Saccharomyces cerevisiae S288C: one gene and its partners. The gene in region 3 interacts genetically with the main gene of each other region. Each region holds a gene or a part of one and is shown on either strand. Other genes may lie near its edges.

The links. A genetic interaction does not mean that the proteins touch.
Region 1: of MSS11 (region 3) and MEP2, extra expression of one rescues a mutant of the other (dosage rescue), as found in Saccharomyces cerevisiae (2 studies listed by BioGRID).
Region 2: mutations in MSS11 (region 3) and AFB1 together harm fitness more than expected from each alone (negative genetic interaction), as found in Saccharomyces cerevisiae (2 studies listed by BioGRID).

The regions. Positions count from the first base shown.
Region 1 is NC_001146.8:354,656-359,452, reverse strand, and holds MEP2 (ammonium permease MEP2), read right to left. Parts: upstream 2,001-4,797; coding exon 501-2,000; downstream 1-500. Other genes in the region: YNL143C (uncharacterized protein), read left to right, coding at 2,267-2,659; MPF1 (Mpf1p), read left to right, coding at 4,411-4,797. UniProt on the Saccharomyces cerevisiae protein: Transporter for ammonium (both charged and uncharged NH3 and NH4) to use as a nitrogen source. The affinity of MEP2 is about twenty times higher than that of MEP1. MEP3 has the lowest affinity.
Region 2 is NC_001144.5:228,408-231,994, forward strand, and holds AFB1 (Afb1p), read right to left. Parts: upstream 1,176-3,587; coding exon 501-1,175; downstream 1-500. Other genes in the region: RIC1 (Ric1p), read right to left, coding at 1-189; NFG1 (Nfg1p), read right to left, coding at 1,559-2,044; thioredoxin TRX1, read right to left, coding at 3,295-3,587. UniProt on the Saccharomyces cerevisiae protein: MATalpha-specific protein that interferes with a-factor, the pheromone secreted by MATa cells. Contributes to mating efficiency.
Region 3 is NC_001145.3:584,619-593,801, reverse strand, and holds MSS11 (Mss11p), read left to right. Parts: upstream 1-4,251; coding exon 4,252-6,528; downstream 6,529-9,183. Other genes in the region: MME1 (Mme1p), read left to right, coding at 1-435; phosphatidate phosphatase PAH1, read left to right, coding at 1,174-3,762; INP2 (Inp2p), read left to right, coding at 7,414-9,183. UniProt on the Saccharomyces cerevisiae protein: Transcription factor that regulates pseudohyphal differentiation, invasive growth, floculation, adhesion and starch metabolism in response to nutrient availability.

The DNA of each region.
Region 1 (4,797 bases), on a different chromosome or scaffold from region 3:
CGTTGGCATGCGATGAGGTCAGTTTCCTGCGCCATTTCAGTGCAGTTTCGAGAATTTTAAGATTCAAAAAAAAAAAAAAAAAAAAAAAAAAAAAAAAAAAAAAAAAAGAAAAGAGATGGAAACAGTGAAAGATAAGGCAAAAAGGAAGTATATCAAGGTTTTTACATCAAAATATGTCTTCTATAAGCGATGAAAATTTGCAACCAAAGCAAAATAAACCTTGTGCTCTTTTCCTGTTAACAGCATATATAGGGTATATAGAGGCTTTCTTAAAGAAAATTTCTTGCTATCATGCTCTGGAGATGCTGTATATTATAGTGTGCACAGTTAAAGTCATCGATTATGATAATAACATAAGACAAGAGAAGTAATACTAACGTCTCCCCTCATCATTCGGAGTTATCAAAAAAAGAAAATATATCAAATATTAAAAATAAAATTATTAAATGAAGCGTTACATAAAGATTAAACATAAAATCATAGTCTGCTTGAGTATATCATTATACTATATGGTCAGTGTTCTTAGTAGAAGAAGCGTCGGAAGGCGTAGAATTCTTTTCTGCGTCTGTGTTACCCACAATCTTATCATCAATGTTTTCATGAGGAGGTGGCATTTGTGCCGATGTTTTAGATCTGATTGGTTCTGGGATGTAAGCAGTGGATTCCTCGTATGTAAATTCACCAATTTGAGCAGCGTCGGTACCTAATTCTTCCTCATCAGCACTTAATCTTAGTTTTAAAAATGGAATGGCATTCATAGTTAGAAGCAAGATAGATGTGACAGTAACAGTCCAGGCTAGTGCAGCGCATATACCTGCTAATTGATAACCAACTTGTTTATAGTGATGATTGATCCAGCCACCATCAATTGGACTAATGTAAGAGCCTGCAGTGGCATTTACATAGTCTGCAGCAAAGATACCAGTTAATACAGAACCAATACAACCACCCACACCATGGATAGAGTAACAATCTAGACCATCATCGATGCGCAATAGACTCTTTAAGTCAACAGCAAGGTTACATCCTGCACCAGTAACCACACCAATGACAACGGCTGACCAGATTGGCACGAACCCGGCGGCTGGGGTGATACCCACTAGGCCAGCGATGATACCTGAACACAAACCAACTGTAGTCCACTTTCTTCCGCATCTGAAATAATCGATAACCATCCATGTCAAGCCACCGCAAGCAGCAGCTAAGTTTGTGGACATAATAGAGTACCATGCTCGTATAGTTGCATTACCTGCAGAGCCTCCGTTAAAGAACATCCAACCAAACCATAAGAACACTGTGCCTAAAACCACCGAGGTGACGGAATGTGGTTTGTACTTGGGCATCCCTTTACGTGTAACAGGGTCATTACGCTTACCCAGTATCAAAGCGTAAACTAGACCACCATGTCCAGATGTTAAATGGACACATAAACCACCTGCATAGTCCAAGCTACCCAATTTGACCAACCAACCCTCGGCATTCCAGACCCAGCATGCAATAGGACAATAAACAATAGTCATCCATAAAAACAAGAACACCATCATAGGAAACAACCTTGCCCTCTCGCAGGCACCACCTAGCATTAGGGCACCGGTGACTGCGGCAAACATACCTTGGTAAACGGCAAACAGTATATCGGGAAGAGAACTGACACTAGATGGGGCTCCTAAAACGTTACGAAACCCAAAGAATTCCAAGGTACCAATAAAACCGTTACCTCTAGTGTTGTGTGAGAAAGCTAATGAGTATCCCCAGAAAAACCATTGGAAAATACACACGGCGGAAGCCATCATCGAGGCCCAAAGCAAGGATAAAGCATGCTTTTTCCTGGATAAACCAGAATATAATAAACCGATACCTGGGACCATAATCCACACACCTGCTGAAGCCACACCGATCCATCCCATGTTGGCCAAGTCAAATTGTGTATTCAAATCTGTTGTCAACGAGTTACCACCCGTTCCTTCGCCTGTAGGCGTACCTGTAAAATTGTAAGACATTGTTGATATTGTATTGTAATATATTAAGTATGATATATTACAAAACTAAACTTCTTTCAAAGCTCTGTGCAGACTTATTATTTAAGAAGGATATTTAATTTGAAAGGACGTGAAAGCACGAATGATTACTACCCACTGATGTTTGGTTAGCACATGTGTAACTACTGCTTATATATGGTGCAGAAAAGTGGCTCGGAATGAACACCTCTTGTACTGAATACTTCATTGATAAGGCACAGGGTCTTCACGCCGCTTAGTATTCGTCGATGCGTGAGCAATTGAAGCTTTTTACGAGGGAAATAGTCGATTTTACATTTCTTATCTTATCTGGCTTTGACTATTACCAGACACTCTTGATAAGCAGTAACAGCAGTAAGAAGAGACCGAAGGATTCTTCTTTGTTATCGGAAAAAAAAAAAAAAAAAAAAAAAAAAAAAAAAGATGTCTTATCTTATCTTTCTTATCTTAAAGACCTACCATTTGTTCCTTTTCTATTTTGGCAGCCCGGGTATTCGCAAAGGGAAAAAAACCCAAGACAGCATTCCTTGTTCATTATGACTATTACAAAGCCAGGAATGATTTCGATGGCCGACATGAATTACGTCGTTTCCAAGAACAGAAGCTTAAACCGTCCTGCTGAGCGGGGCGGTAATCGGTGACCAGGCAGCCTATAAAATGAAGTTGACAACCGAGTAGGCTATCACGTATGCATGGAACGTATATTTTAGCGTGACCAATGCTGAATGATGATAGTCTATAGCTGAAAATATTATCCAATAATATCAGAAAAAGAAAACTCACCAGCACCAGTGCATCCAATCTGTATTCTGTTAGTATTCCTGATACAGTTATTTCCCTCGTTATGGCTCATTCAGACGCCAAAAAGAGCATAGAGTTAGACAACATTGGAGGGAGTAGCTCAGTTACTGTTGACAGTGGCTTTCACTAATAAAAGCCATTGCAATATGATAATGACTAGCAGAAATTTAAATATTAACAGGATTCTTCTTGGATGAGAAACGTACATAATTTCGCAAAAAAGAAAAAAATATTTACTGCTATAAATCCTGTCATCAACAATAGTTTTCTTCCTTGCCAACGTCCTTTAGCACAAATCTCGTAGGTTCTATGCTTAACAGAGCGTCAACAGAAGCGGGTATCGGCTCGACGTGAATAATGGAGATTGTTACATCCATGTGCCGCTCTACCCATTTCATTTCTACGCCTCAATAAAATGTATGAAAAATGAAAAGATGTAAAACAAAACAACAGTTCCGTAACCGCGGAAAGTTGCGTCTCGTAAAAGGAATGAAAAACTCATATACATTCACCAGATATGTTCTATGAAACTCGAAAGCTTCCATCAATTCACACTAAGCTACACGGCTCCTAATAAGCACTGTAATTCCATCAAATGACAGCGTGACTTCTTGAGTAGTGTAGAACCACTCGTCCCACTAAATCACAGCCCTTAATCCGTGCACAGTGAGTTAAAATATGACTTTATTCATGTAAAACGAAATTTCATCATATACTCGATCTTTGTTCTGCTGTTCTTGAGATGTAAATTACGTGAATTCCTCCGGTTAACACCTTCAGAGTCGCATGGTCAGTCAAAAATTCCACGTCTTATCACCGTGGTCTATTCCAACCTTGTAATATAACCAACACATCGATTTTCGGTACATGGGTGTTTGAGATTTATCCTCATTTGACACATGTACCTGAAACTAATCTTTTCTATCCGGGGCTCCGTGGGAAACGTAACCCGAATTCAAATTCCGCCGAGGCCCCTTTTTTATTTTAGCTCACTCACTGGGTACGGAAGCAGATAGAGCTCTGGATACCCGGAAATCAGCAACACCCAGAGACCTTGGCACGGGAATAAGATGCAGTACCGAATGATCCGGGTCCCACAACTAAGTCAAAAGAAAAAAAGAGAGAATTATTTTGCTGCGGTTTTTCGTTACCTATGCTAACTGTTTCCTCCATACCCCTCCACGCCGTTTTCTCTAATACTGTCCCCATTATCTTTTTGCGAACTTTCTTTCGGCTGCTTCCGGCCAGTTTCTCCCCCATGCAACCCCCTGCGCAAAGGAACAGATCTGCTCTTGATCAAGTAAGAAAATGTGGGGGGCAGGCATCTTGAAAAATTCTCTAAAATTTGCATGTATTCTGTTTTCCGCCAAGGGATAGAGCAAGTGGAAGACGTAGTTGAAGGACTTTTCGTAATATATACAGGCATGCTATTTATTTATTTTGTTGGTGCTTTCTTGGTAAATTGCAAAAACTGTTAGTGAAGTTTCTTTGTAACTTTGGCACTAGTTGTTACACAGGCAGTAACACTAAGCACTATTTTTTTACGTTGTTTTCGCAGACAGCAGAAGAGATAAACGGACCTATTCAGAAAATGTCCTCCAGCATCTTTGAAATGACAATAGACCACGACGGTATGGATAGTACGGGGCTGAAGCTTTCACAGACAGCCTCATCCATATCCATGGGCGACGAGTTTCTTTGTTCCAGTACTACTAGTAATTCTATTCTGGATTCTCCGCTTCCGAAAGTGACTTTTAACCATATCGATAGCATAACAGACATTAACACAAACATCATGAACGAAATAGTGGAGCCACAATCCGGAGTAGATGTTGATGTTGCTGACAAAAACGTGCTTTACTGCATAGATCCGTACCCAGTGGAACCTCCGTGTTATGATTTTGCGAATCCGTCTAAAGTCATTAGGTACCCTATATATGAGCATTGTCGTCCGTGCCTCACTTCTGTGAAACCTCCC
Region 2 (3,587 bases), on a different chromosome or scaffold from region 3:
TATTTTAGTACCCTCACCTAATTCGGCGTTGCGGGGTGGAATTCTAAGCAATTGGGGCGGACTGACTGGCCATAAGTGCATTTTCCACGTGTTCAGTTTCTTACAGCTTCCGGTCAATAACACTCTTACCTTACCTTTTTTTTTGTAGAGGCATTTAGGTGTATTTTTTTCAGACTGTTTGATGAACATCAAAGGCGTCGGTATTGCCGAATTAACATCAAAGAACAAAAGCCTGCCATAAAACGACAGAAAAGACAAGATTTTGGCCAAGATGGCAACGCCATTCAGAAGTTATAATAATATGTTAAAAATAAATCGTTTGATACTGTACAAAGTTGATGTTCATCGTTGTCACTAAAAACGCTCTTAAAATCGAATTGTCCATTGAAAAAGTACATACTTATATACATATTTGTATAAATAATACACATATTATAAAAAAAGCGAAAAGGGATGGCGGACCTCCCATGGAATTAAATTGTCAAATTTGGTTGAGGCACTTAAAGGGCAACTGCAAAGATTCCGAACAACGCCATGGGGAAATATAAGCTTTTGGCATGGGCACCATTCTGTGATTGACTAGTTCTGGATGTTGAAGAAGAGTTTGATGCGGATATAAGTGCTGTTGTACTGTTTTCTTCATTAGCCATGGAAATCATGGACTGGCCTGCGTTCGCTGTCGAGAAAGGAACAGAATTGGAAACGGAGTTTTTTTGGCTGGCATAAGATGAGTTAGTCATGGTAGCTTCTGTCTCACCTGTTATGAAGTGTTGGGGAAGGTATATGGTGGTGGCGGAGGCTTTGTTTAGCAAAGAGGTATACCATGGAAAGGCCGTAATGAATGTTTGGAATTGAGTGAACGGAAAACTCTGAGCAATATCAGATTGTAAATCTGCTGTTGAGGCCAAATCAACCATGTGATAGTAGTAGTCAGCAACAGGTTGAGGTAGGGTTAAATGGTTTTGCATCATGTATGAGGTATACTGTGGAAAAGCGGTGTCGAAATCGTTTAAAAACTCCATGAAGAATGCCATGTCTGCATCTGCAGCTGCGGACCTGGCAAGTGTATCGTCATTGGAACTAGACGTTAAAGTTTTGGCAGCAAAACTGTGGCTGATTAGAAAGCTTACCAGGAGAATATTTTTAATGAGGGAGAAAGAAGGAGCAAATATCATTGATACGCAATATTTTCAGGAATGTTGTAAATGGTTCGTAACTGGATATCGAAATCACTTGATTAGAAACAATACGCCGGAATATGATCAGGTAAAGCAGAATAACAAAGAATAAACTTTCTCGATTGAGAGTGTCTTTTTAAATCATCCAAGCTCTTGAATTTTCTAGCATAGCCTTGGATGACAGCAATAAAAAATTTGCCAGGATTTTTCCCTATTTGGGCGTTCAATGAAGATAACGTTTGAAATATTAAAAACTAAAAAAAGAAAAAGGTTTGAAGCAATTAATAATTTATTAAGTTTTTTTTTATTTATCATACTTAAGAATATGGAGACCACGGGTTTTCTTACACCTGCGAAGACCTTGAACCTAATATATTTGTTTAAGAAAACAAATAAGCGATTGTTTCTAACATTAAAACGAAGTAAAGACATGGCTTGACTGAACCTACACCTCCTGTGCTTGTACTTGAACTTATAGTATTAGTTGTTTGAGAGCTTTTTGTTTCATTTCTCGACGAAGAAGGCAATGGCGTGAACTGGGTGACTACCGTAGAATTTGAGGATTGGTAATTTATAGATGTTATGACGCTGGAAGTGACTTTTGGTATAGACGACGATGATGAAGAACCGGTGAAATTAGCAGCAGCTAATGAACCAGTAATAATGCTGGAAGAGGTGGTGCTTGGAAGATGAAGTAGTTGATCGTTAGAATTTCCAGTGTCAAGAAAGGTGTATTGCACTTTCTGTCCAAGGGCAGTATTCAAATCCTGAGCATTTGAATCTGTGAGAAGTTGCGCTTGAACAATGAACAGTTGTAGTAGCACAATTGGGGCGAAAGCTAAAGAGCCAAATTGACTGATCTTCATATTTTTTTTGATTTGTTGACGAGCTATAGGATGATGAAACGGAGGGATATCAAAGTACGTTCTTCAAGCTTACAATTTCTCAAGGTGCTTTACTGGTCAAGATATTCAATATATAGCTAAATATTTATACAAAATGTTTGTTGACGGTTTGTTTATAGTGTTTTCAAAACACCACGAAAAGACTTCATTCTTGCATTCTTTTTTCTACAAGATGAGTCTATACATCTGAAACTGCGACGCCATTTTTTCCGCTGTTCGGGGCATTCTTGGCCAAATCCTCGAAAGAAATAAAACGTCAAAAGTAAAAAAGGTGGGCTAGACGAAACGTTATTATACGTCATAATTGTAGCCGTGTATGAGTGGGTGGAACTTGTATAAATAAACAAGTTCTTACTTATCATATTCTCGCATGCAATGAAATTCTCCAGATTATGACGCTTAGGTCTGGCCAGACGGCTAATGAGGTCCAGAGGAAATAGAAGGATTGTAAGCGGCCTCCACTAAATTTTGACCCCTCATACATGCTTGTTCAAACACAAAAGATTGAGGTTGAAAACTTGGCAAGAATTGGGCTAGGAGAAAGTGGCCAGGTGCTTCTTGTTCAGAACCAAGCAGATATGCTAGCACAATGTGCACCGTTCTATTTTTTTCTATAGTGTGTTTACATTTCTTGGCACATTGCGTTCGGTTTCAAATTTGTATAATTATTATTGGAGCGAGACAGGCGTTTCTGTACCGCTGTTATTTTTAACATCCACTGCGTTTTATGTATCTCTAAAATTGTGCGTTGCCTTTCTTTTGTTTATATTTTTGTTCAAAAAATGAGTTAATAATGATTTTTCATCTTCGGCTTACCGGTCTTGAAAATATTTGTTAAGACAACAGTGGATAAAATAAAACTAAACAACTCAAGCAAAAGTATTCCACTTCTTAAACAAAGCCCAACTGAAAGGTTGCGAAATACTATGTCATTTTGATTTAATCATCTAATGCTCGAGAAAATTTCAGAGCCGTAATACTTAAGTAATCGGAAGAAAAGTATCTCATTCTTCATTTTTCTCCAAATATATACCTCTTGTGTGAAAAATTAATTGTTTCCTCCACCTCCTTTGTGTGGTGGGCAATTGTGTGCTTCCGAGTAAATAACAAAACATAAGGATAATATATAATTCTGTTTTTTTGTCTAAAAAAGGTAAACTATATATAACAAACACAGTATAGAAACACAATATATCGGTCATTGGGTGAGTTTAAGCATTAGCAGCAATGGCTTGCTTAATAGCCGCTGGGTTGGCACCAACAACCTTTGCAACTTCCTTACCGTTCTTGAATAGAAGCAAAGTTGGCATAGCGGAAACTTCATTCTTTTGTGCAACATCACCCAATTCATCGACATCCAATTTATAGAAATCAGCTTGTGGGTATTGTTCAGAGAATTTTTCAATCATTGGAGCAATCATTTTACATGGACCGCACCAAGTGGCGTAGAAATCTACGACAACTAGCTTGTCTTGAGCAATTGCAGAGTCGAATTCGCTGGCAG
Region 3 (9,183 bases):
CCATTTAGTGCATTGCAGTTTGCCTTCTACGAAAAGTTTAGGCAATTGGCTTTCAAGATTGAACAGAAAGATGGTAGGGATGGTGAGTTGTCTATACCTAATGAAATATTGACTGGTGCCTGTGCAGGTGGACTGGCGGGAATCATTACCACACCAATGGATGTTGTTAAGACTAGAGTCCAAACTCAACAGCCGCCCAGCCAAAGCAACAAATCATACTCAGTAACACATCCACATGTAACAAACGGCAGACCGGCAGCACTTTCCAACTCGATTTCGCTCAGCCTTCGGACGGTCTACCAATCTGAAGGTGTGTTAGGTTTCTTTAGTGGCGTTGGCCCTAGATTCGTCTGGACAAGTGTTCAGAGCAGTATAATGTTGCTTCTGTATCAAATGACCCTACGCGGATTAAGTAACGCATTTCCAACGGACTAAGAGCCTGATTTCTGGCTCATCTAACTCTCTAGAGGATAATTTTATGTGATAAAACTTTTCCTACAAGCGGCTACAATAAAGACAGTACAAGGGACCTCACCCTATTCGCCATCACTGCACATCACAGTGGGTCTTGTACTTATCATTTCACATACATAGATATAGGTTCTTCCGAATAAGTTTTGTATATAGTCATTTACGGCAAGAATACTCATCTAAGTTTAATACGCATTTCTCTCTTCGTTCGCAGTTCCTAACACTGAGCGTTCTTGTTTGGAGGGCTCGTTTAAAAAAAAGTCTAACAAATGTGACAGATTTGCTTGAACAGGGTCCAAACTCATCTTGTATATCATAACACTACATCACTGGGAGACAAAATCGAAGTGCCCACGTGCTGCTCATTCTCTAAACGGTCTGTCGCGGGCCCTTTTCGTCCTTCGGTTTCCCTCCCTTTAGACAATGGGCTCTCTTTTCTCTATTATCTATCTCTTTTTCTCGGCTTTTCCGGCCAGCGTTGAAAGCAGCGCACGGTGAGGGTAGAAGGAAGAGCAAGGACAAGTGAAGAGTAGGCCATCGTGGGGGCTTGTGTTTATAAAGAAAATACATTCAACAATTTAGTAAAACGTGTTCAAGAAGTGTTAATCAGACCAATTGGACACTACACCTTCGTAATCACAGTTTTACCTTCTAAGAAACATACAGGGAAGAAATTACTGAAGATAGACACATCGGTCGATTATGCAGTACGTAGGCAGAGCTCTTGGGTCTGTGTCTAAAACATGGTCTTCTATCAATCCGGCTACGCTATCAGGTGCTATAGATGTCATTGTAGTGGAGCATCCAGACGGAAGGCTATCATGTTCTCCCTTTCATGTGAGGTTCGGCAAATTTCAAATTCTAAAGCCATCTCAAAAGAAAGTCCAAGTGTTTATAAATGAGAAACTGAGTAATATGCCAATGAAACTGAGTGATTCTGGAGAAGCCTATTTCGTTTTCGAGATGGGTGACCAGGTCACTGATGTCCCTGACGAATTGCTTGTGTCGCCCGTGATGAGCGCCACATCAAGCCCCCCTCAATCACCTGAAACATCCATCTTAGAAGGAGGAACCGAGGGTGAAGGTGAAGGTGAAAATGAAAATAAGAAGAAGGAAAAGAAAGTGCTAGAGGAACCAGATTTTTTAGATATCAATGACACTGGAGATTCAGGCAGTAAAAATAGTGAAACTACAGGGTCGCTTTCTCCTACTGAATCCTCTACAACGACACCACCAGATTCAGTTGAAGAGAGGAAGCTTGTTGAGCAGCGTACAAAGAACTTTCAGCAAAAACTAAACAAAAAACTCACTGAAATCCATATACCCAGTAAACTTGATAACAATGGCGACTTACTACTAGACACTGAAGGTTACAAGCCAAACAAGAATATGATGCATGACACAGACATACAACTGAAGCAGTTGTTAAAGGACGAATTCGGTAATGATTCAGATATTTCCAGTTTTATCAAGGAGGACAAAAATGGCAACATCAAGATCGTAAATCCTTACGAGCACCTTACTGATTTATCTCCTCCAGGTACGCCTCCAACAATGGCCACAAGCGGATCAGTTTTAGGCTTAGATGCAATGGAATCAGGAAGTACTTTGAATTCGTTATCTTCTTCACCTTCTGGTTCCGATACTGAGGACGAAACATCATTTAGCAAAGAACAAAGCAGTAAAAGTGAAAAAACTAGCAAGAAAGGAACAGCAGGGAGCGGTGAGACCGAGAAAAGATACATACGAACGATAAGATTGACTAATGACCAGTTAAAGTGCCTAAATTTAACTTATGGTGAAAATGATCTGAAATTTTCCGTAGATCACGGAAAAGCTATTGTTACGTCAAAATTATTCGTTTGGAGGTGGGATGTTCCAATTGTTATCAGTGATATTGATGGCACCATCACAAAATCGGACGCTTTAGGCCATGTTCTGGCAATGATAGGAAAAGACTGGACGCACTTGGGTGTAGCCAAGTTATTTAGCGAGATCTCCAGGAATGGCTATAATATACTCTATCTAACTGCAAGAAGTGCTGGACAAGCTGATTCCACGAGGAGTTATTTGCGATCAATTGAACAGAATGGCAGCAAACTACCAAATGGGCCTGTGATTTTATCACCCGATAGAACGATGGCTGCGTTAAGGCGGGAAGTAATACTAAAAAAACCTGAAGTCTTTAAAATCGCGTGTCTAAACGACATAAGATCCTTGTATTTTGAAGACAGTGATAACGAAGTGGATACAGAGGAAAAATCAACACCATTTTTTGCCGGCTTTGGTAATAGGATTACTGATGCTTTATCTTACAGAACTGTGGGGATACCTAGTTCAAGAATTTTCACAATAAATACAGAGGGTGAGGTTCATATGGAATTATTGGAGTTAGCAGGTTACAGAAGCTCCTATATTCATATCAATGAGCTTGTCGATCATTTCTTTCCACCAGTCAGCCTTGATAGTGTCGATCTAAGAACTAATACTTCCATGGTTCCTGGCTCCCCCCCTAATAGAACGTTGGATAACTTTGACTCAGAAATTACTTCAGGTCGCAAAACGCTATTTAGAGGCAATCAGGAAGAGAAATTCACAGACGTAAATTTTTGGAGAGACCCGTTAGTCGACATCGACAACTTATCGGATATTAGCAATGATGATTCTGATAACATCGATGAAGATACTGACGTATCACAACAAAGCAACATTAGTAGAAATAGGGCAAATTCAGTCAAAACCGCCAAGGTCACTAAAGCCCCGCAAAGAAATGTGAGCGGCAGCACAAATAACAACGAAGTTTTAGCCGCTTCGTCTGATGTAGAAAATGCGTCTGACCTGGTGAGTTCCCATAGTAGCTCAGGATCCACGCCCAATAAATCTACAATGTCCAAAGGGGACATTGGAAAACAAATATATTTGGAGCTAGGTTCTCCACTTGCATCGCCAAAACTAAGATATTTAGACGATATGGATGATGAAGACTCCAATTACAATAGAACTAAATCAAGGAGAGCATCTTCTGCAGCCGCGACTAGTATCGATAAAGAGTTCAAAAAGCTCTCTGTGTCAAAGGCCGGCGCTCCAACAAGAATTGTTTCAAAGATCAACGTTTCAAATGACGTACATTCACTTGGGAATTCAGATACCGAATCACGAAGGGAGCAAAGTGTTAATGAAACAGGGCGCAATCAGCTACCCCACAACTCAATGGACGATAAAGATTTGGATTCAAGAGTAAGCGATGAATTCGATGACGATGAATTCGACGAAGATGAATTCGAAGATTAAAGATTCTTGTAGCCGAATATTATTTATAACGATCCATACTGCATATTAAGTAAAATTATGAAGTACTAAGTAACAATTTTTCAATTTTATTTAAGAAAAGAGAAGGAAAAAAAAAAGAAGAAAATTTTTTGATAGAAGAAAAAGGTAAACGATGATTGTTACGTACCAAGTGTTCTTCTGAGCTATTTGGTAATTACATACTTCTTCGAAATGTCAAGGTAAATACTTTTCTATACGCACACGAAACTCGCTTGCTGCAACAGGTATTACGTCAGGTGAAAAAAGCGGCCAAGAGGCAATGCCGAAATACAATGCGTGTATAACAGGAAGAGGAGGGGTATAATAAAATCACCATAGTAGAAAAGACCAGAAAGATTTCTATTGCAATCCTGTGTGACTCTTTTGGTTTTTCCCTTTGGTATCTCCCGGTTCTTTTGTCAATTTTTCGTTAAACTGCAGTGAAATAAGAAAAAGGTGCATGATAAAGATATGGATAACACGACCAATATTAATACAAATGAGCGCTCTAGTAACACGGATTTTAGCTCAGCTCCCAATATCAAAGGTTTGAATAGCCATACTCAGTTGCAGTTTGATGCGGATTCTCGAGTTTTCGTTTCGGATGTAATGGCTAAGAACTCTAAGCAATTATTGTACGCCCATATTTATAACTATTTAATCAAAAACAATTACTGGAACTCTGCCGCAAAATTTTTAAGCGAAGCTGACCTTCCTTTATCTAGAATAAACGGATCTGCTTCGGGTGGGAAAACTAGCTTGAACGCCAGCCTGAAGCAGGGATTAATGGATATTGCATCTAAGGGTGACATTGTTAGTGAAGATGGGCTATTACCTTCGAAAATGCTGATGGACGCTAATGACACGTTTTTACTGGAATGGTGGGAAATTTTTCAATCATTGTTCAATGGAGACCTAGAATCTGGGTACCAACAGGATCATAATCCTTTAAGAGAGAGAATAATACCAATTTTGCCAGCTAATTCTAAATCTAATATGCCTTCCCATTTCTCTAATCTCCCACCAAATGTGATTCCACCAACTCAAAATAGTTTTCCAGTTTCAGAGGAGAGTTTTAGGCCCAATGGTGACGGAAGTAACTTTAATTTAAACGATCCAACCAATCGAAACGTCTCCGAAAGATTTCTATCGAGAACTTCCGGTGTCTACGACAAACAGAATAGCGCTAATTTTGCACCTGATACTGCTATAAACAGTGATATTGCTGGGCAGCAGTACGCAACTATAAATCTACATAAACACTTCAATGATTTGCAATCACCAGCACAGCCCCAGCAATCATCTCAACAGCAGATCCAGCAGCCTCAGCATCAACCCCAGCATCAACCGCAACAGCAACAGCAACAGCAACAACAACAACAACAACAGCAACAGCAACAGCAACAGCAACAGCAGCAACAGCAACAGCAACAGCAACAACATCAACAGCAGCAACAGACACCGTATCCTATTGTCAACCCACAAATGGTCCCTCATATTCCATCGGAAAATTCTCATTCAACCGGACTTATGCCTTCAGTGCCTCCTACAAATCAACAATTTAATGCACAAACCCAATCTTCAATGTTTTCAGACCAGCAGCGCTTCTTTCAATATCAATTACACCACCAAAATCAAGGACAGGCGCCATCTTTTCAGCAAAGCCAATCTGGCAGGTTTGATGACATGAACGCTATGAAAATGTTTTTTCAGCAGCAAGCACTACAGCAAAATTCACTACAGCAAAATCTTGGAAATCAAAATTATCAATCTAATACACGTAACAATACTGCGGAAGAAACTACGCCCACAAATGACAATAACGCAAATGGCAATAGTTTATTGCAAGAACACATACGAGCCCGCTTCAATAAGATGAAAACAATTCCTCAACAAATGAAAAATCAAAGCACTGTCGCAAATCCGGTTGTTAGTGATATAACATCTCAACAGCAGTACATGCATATGATGATGCAAAGAATGGCGGCTAACCAGCAATTACAAAATAGTGCCTTTCCTCCAGACACTAATCGTATAGCGCCAGCTAACAACACTATGCCATTACAACCAGGAAATATGGGGTCTCCTGTCATTGAAAATCCAGGTATGAGGCAGACTAATCCATCCGGACAAAACCCTATGATCAATATGCAGCCCTTATATCAAAATGTTTCTTCCGCAATGCATGCGTTCGCTCCGCAACAACAATTTCATCTACCACAACATTATAAAACCAATACTTCAGTACCACAAAATGATTCTACCTCCGTCTTTCCTTTGCCTAACAATAACAATAACAATAACAACAACAACAATAATAATAATAATAATAATAGTAATAATAGTAATAATAATAATAATAATAATAATAATAATAATAATAGTAATAATACACCCACAGTATCACAACCATCATCAAAATGTACTTCTAGCTCCAGCACAACTCCTAATATAACTACAACAATTCAACCCAAGCGGAAACAGAGAGTGGGTAAAACAAAGACCAAGGAATCAAGAAAAGTTGCTGCAGCTCAGAAAGTTATGAAATCTAAGAAACTGGAACAAAATGGTGATTCAGCTGCTACAAACTTCATCAATGTCACTCCAAAGGACAGTGGCGGTAAGGGTACCGTAAAAGTTCAAAACAGTAACTCGCAGCAACAACTAAATGGCTCTTTTTCTATGGATACAGAAACATTCGACATATTTAACATTGGTGACTTTTCTCCTGATCTAATGGATAGCTAAAACCTATTAAACAACAAAAAGTGTTTCATCGTCATTCTTCCAATACTAACCGTTGCATCTTTTCTTTCATATGAGTAGTATGTTTCTAATTTGAATCTTTAAGAAAATTGTTTGTCTGTATTTGTCGGAACGATTTTTGGGATCATCGTTCAGTGCAGGTGTATCGTTTCTCAAATGAAGTGTGAAACTTACTTCTCACTTAGGTTTTCAAAATAATGGCATATAAAGATGGTCTAACATCTATACATATTTTTGACCAAGCAGGAGTCAATCGTTAGAGTAAGTGAGTATATCAGTTTAGTTATTTTAAATTAGACAATGTAATGGAGGGGTGCCAGTGACACTATATAAAATAAAAAAAAAATTTGCATCTGGTGCGCAATAGCGTTCTTGTAACCAAATTTCTATTCCGGTCGAATTTAAACTAGCAAGAAAATAGGTAAGCAAGCTATCTGGCCAGCTAAAAAGACGGTGCCTCAAAGTTTTCGGAATTTTTATATTTAATTCCTAACATATTTAGAGAAATGTAGCATACTCTTTATACAGAATTCTCCAACTTACTATGGTTTCGTGGTCTAGTCGGTTATGGCATCTGCTTAACACGCAGAACGTCCCCAGTTCGATCCTGGGCGAAATCATTTTTTTGAAGACATCCCGCATGAAAACATCAAAACGTAAATAAAAACACTTGATCTGAAAATAAACTAAACATTCATCTTCACCCAATATCATAAATGATTAGGTGACTACCGGATACTAGACGGTTATAGGAGTTTTATCAAAGGTCAAAATCTCACCCCCTCAATAACTGCTCGGCATACCTCACGCTTATTGCAACAAGTTTGTTTTTACTTACTTGTGAAACGTTTGTTGATTAACTTAATAATGACAACAAACTCACGTCCATCCGCCTTGCAGGCTCCCGGTTTACAGATTTTTTCCATGCTGAAATCAAGCGAAGAGGATGGATTCATGAGTTCTAGTCTAACCCTTGATAGTGATAACATAATAGGTGTCACCGAGAACAATCGTCAAGAATTTTACTCTACGTGGCGAAAACCGTCCCTATTAAGCAGCCGCAGCGTATTACATGAATACTCCCCTACAATTGTGGGATCTAATGACTGTACTTTTTCACCTATAACCGTAGGAAAAACAACGAAGTTTTTTAATTGGGATGATATTATTTCAAGAATTTTCATGCAACAGCCATTCGGTGTAACACACCAATTCTTTGAAGAATTTCGGTATTCAATCATTACTTCTCATTTTTTGAATGATATGAATCATTACAGGTTATCACTACATCTTGATCAATCTATTATGAACTTTCATAAAAGCTCAACTTTGTTAAAGAATGTACCTCCCAAATCTGTACCATTTATGGCGACAAAATATGGTAAATTGGCGGTAGCAGAGGACAAAAAATTATATTTCAGACAAAATTTCAACTACCTTTCGATGATTATAACCTCTTATCGAGTACTTACACAGTTGAAAAAATACTGTAGAAAAAAAAATAGTCCAGGTCTGAAGAGAGTTGTAATTTTAATACTCGTAGCAGTGTATTTATCAATTCAGCAAGAATACTTTCGAAGACATTTGATTTGCTATAAAACCTTATTAAAGGTACGGAAAGTGCTCGAATCATTACAACAAGTGGATGTAATGATTCATAAATATCATCTTCGATTTAAAGAAATAAAAAATCATAGTTTTATATCAAGAGTGTCTCTTATTTCAATTGCTGACGAGCACTCATCTGTGATAAAAGAGCTCCTAGTATTCTCAAGTGATGCACTGTTTTATAAACTCAAATCAATCATTCCAGATATTGTCATCTTTAGCGATACAAGTGAGCTATCGAAATACTGTGAATTATACGGTATCGATGTACCAAATCTTTACTATAATAATACTACCACAGTAAAAGACCTTGATGGTAAGCTTTATCGTCTCAAACTGCTAAAGAAATTTATGCTCTGTTGTTTGCTGTCTTTAGATATGACAGGAAACGAAAATCTTTCAAATGTAAACATGAGAAACGCACTAAACAAAATCTTTCCAGATTACATGGCAAGGGTGCAACTCAAAAAAAAATATAATCCAATAGGTACATTCCAAAATATAGTTAGTCTATTAAGAGGATTACATTCACTACTCTCCACTGTCCTGGTGTCTTTGAATGACCATAAGCAAATATTGTATGCATTTCCTGAAGAAACATCAACTAATACTGGTTGTGAAAGAGCAAATGTATGTTCATTTTCAAAGAATGATAAATTGTTTCAGGCACTTAATTACTTAAAAATGATCGAGAACAATCTATTAGCTATTGACATTCGAAATGGCATAACAGAGAATGATAGGAACATCATTGAGGATAAGTTGGAGGAGCTCATTACTTTCTGGAAAACCTCGAAAATTTGTGGCAATATTTCTAGGATACAAAAGGTATCCCCAACCAATACAATCAACCATGGTTTCCATCTGGATATCCTCAAAGGCAGAAAGTCACCCCGTTCTTCGTCAGTACAAGGTCTTAGCTTAGAGAGGAAAGTTGACTTCATTGATGTTGCTGAATCGGTGAATGACTCTTTTGAAAACGACACCGAACTAGAGGAATATGAAGACTACGACTGTCAGGAGGAATGT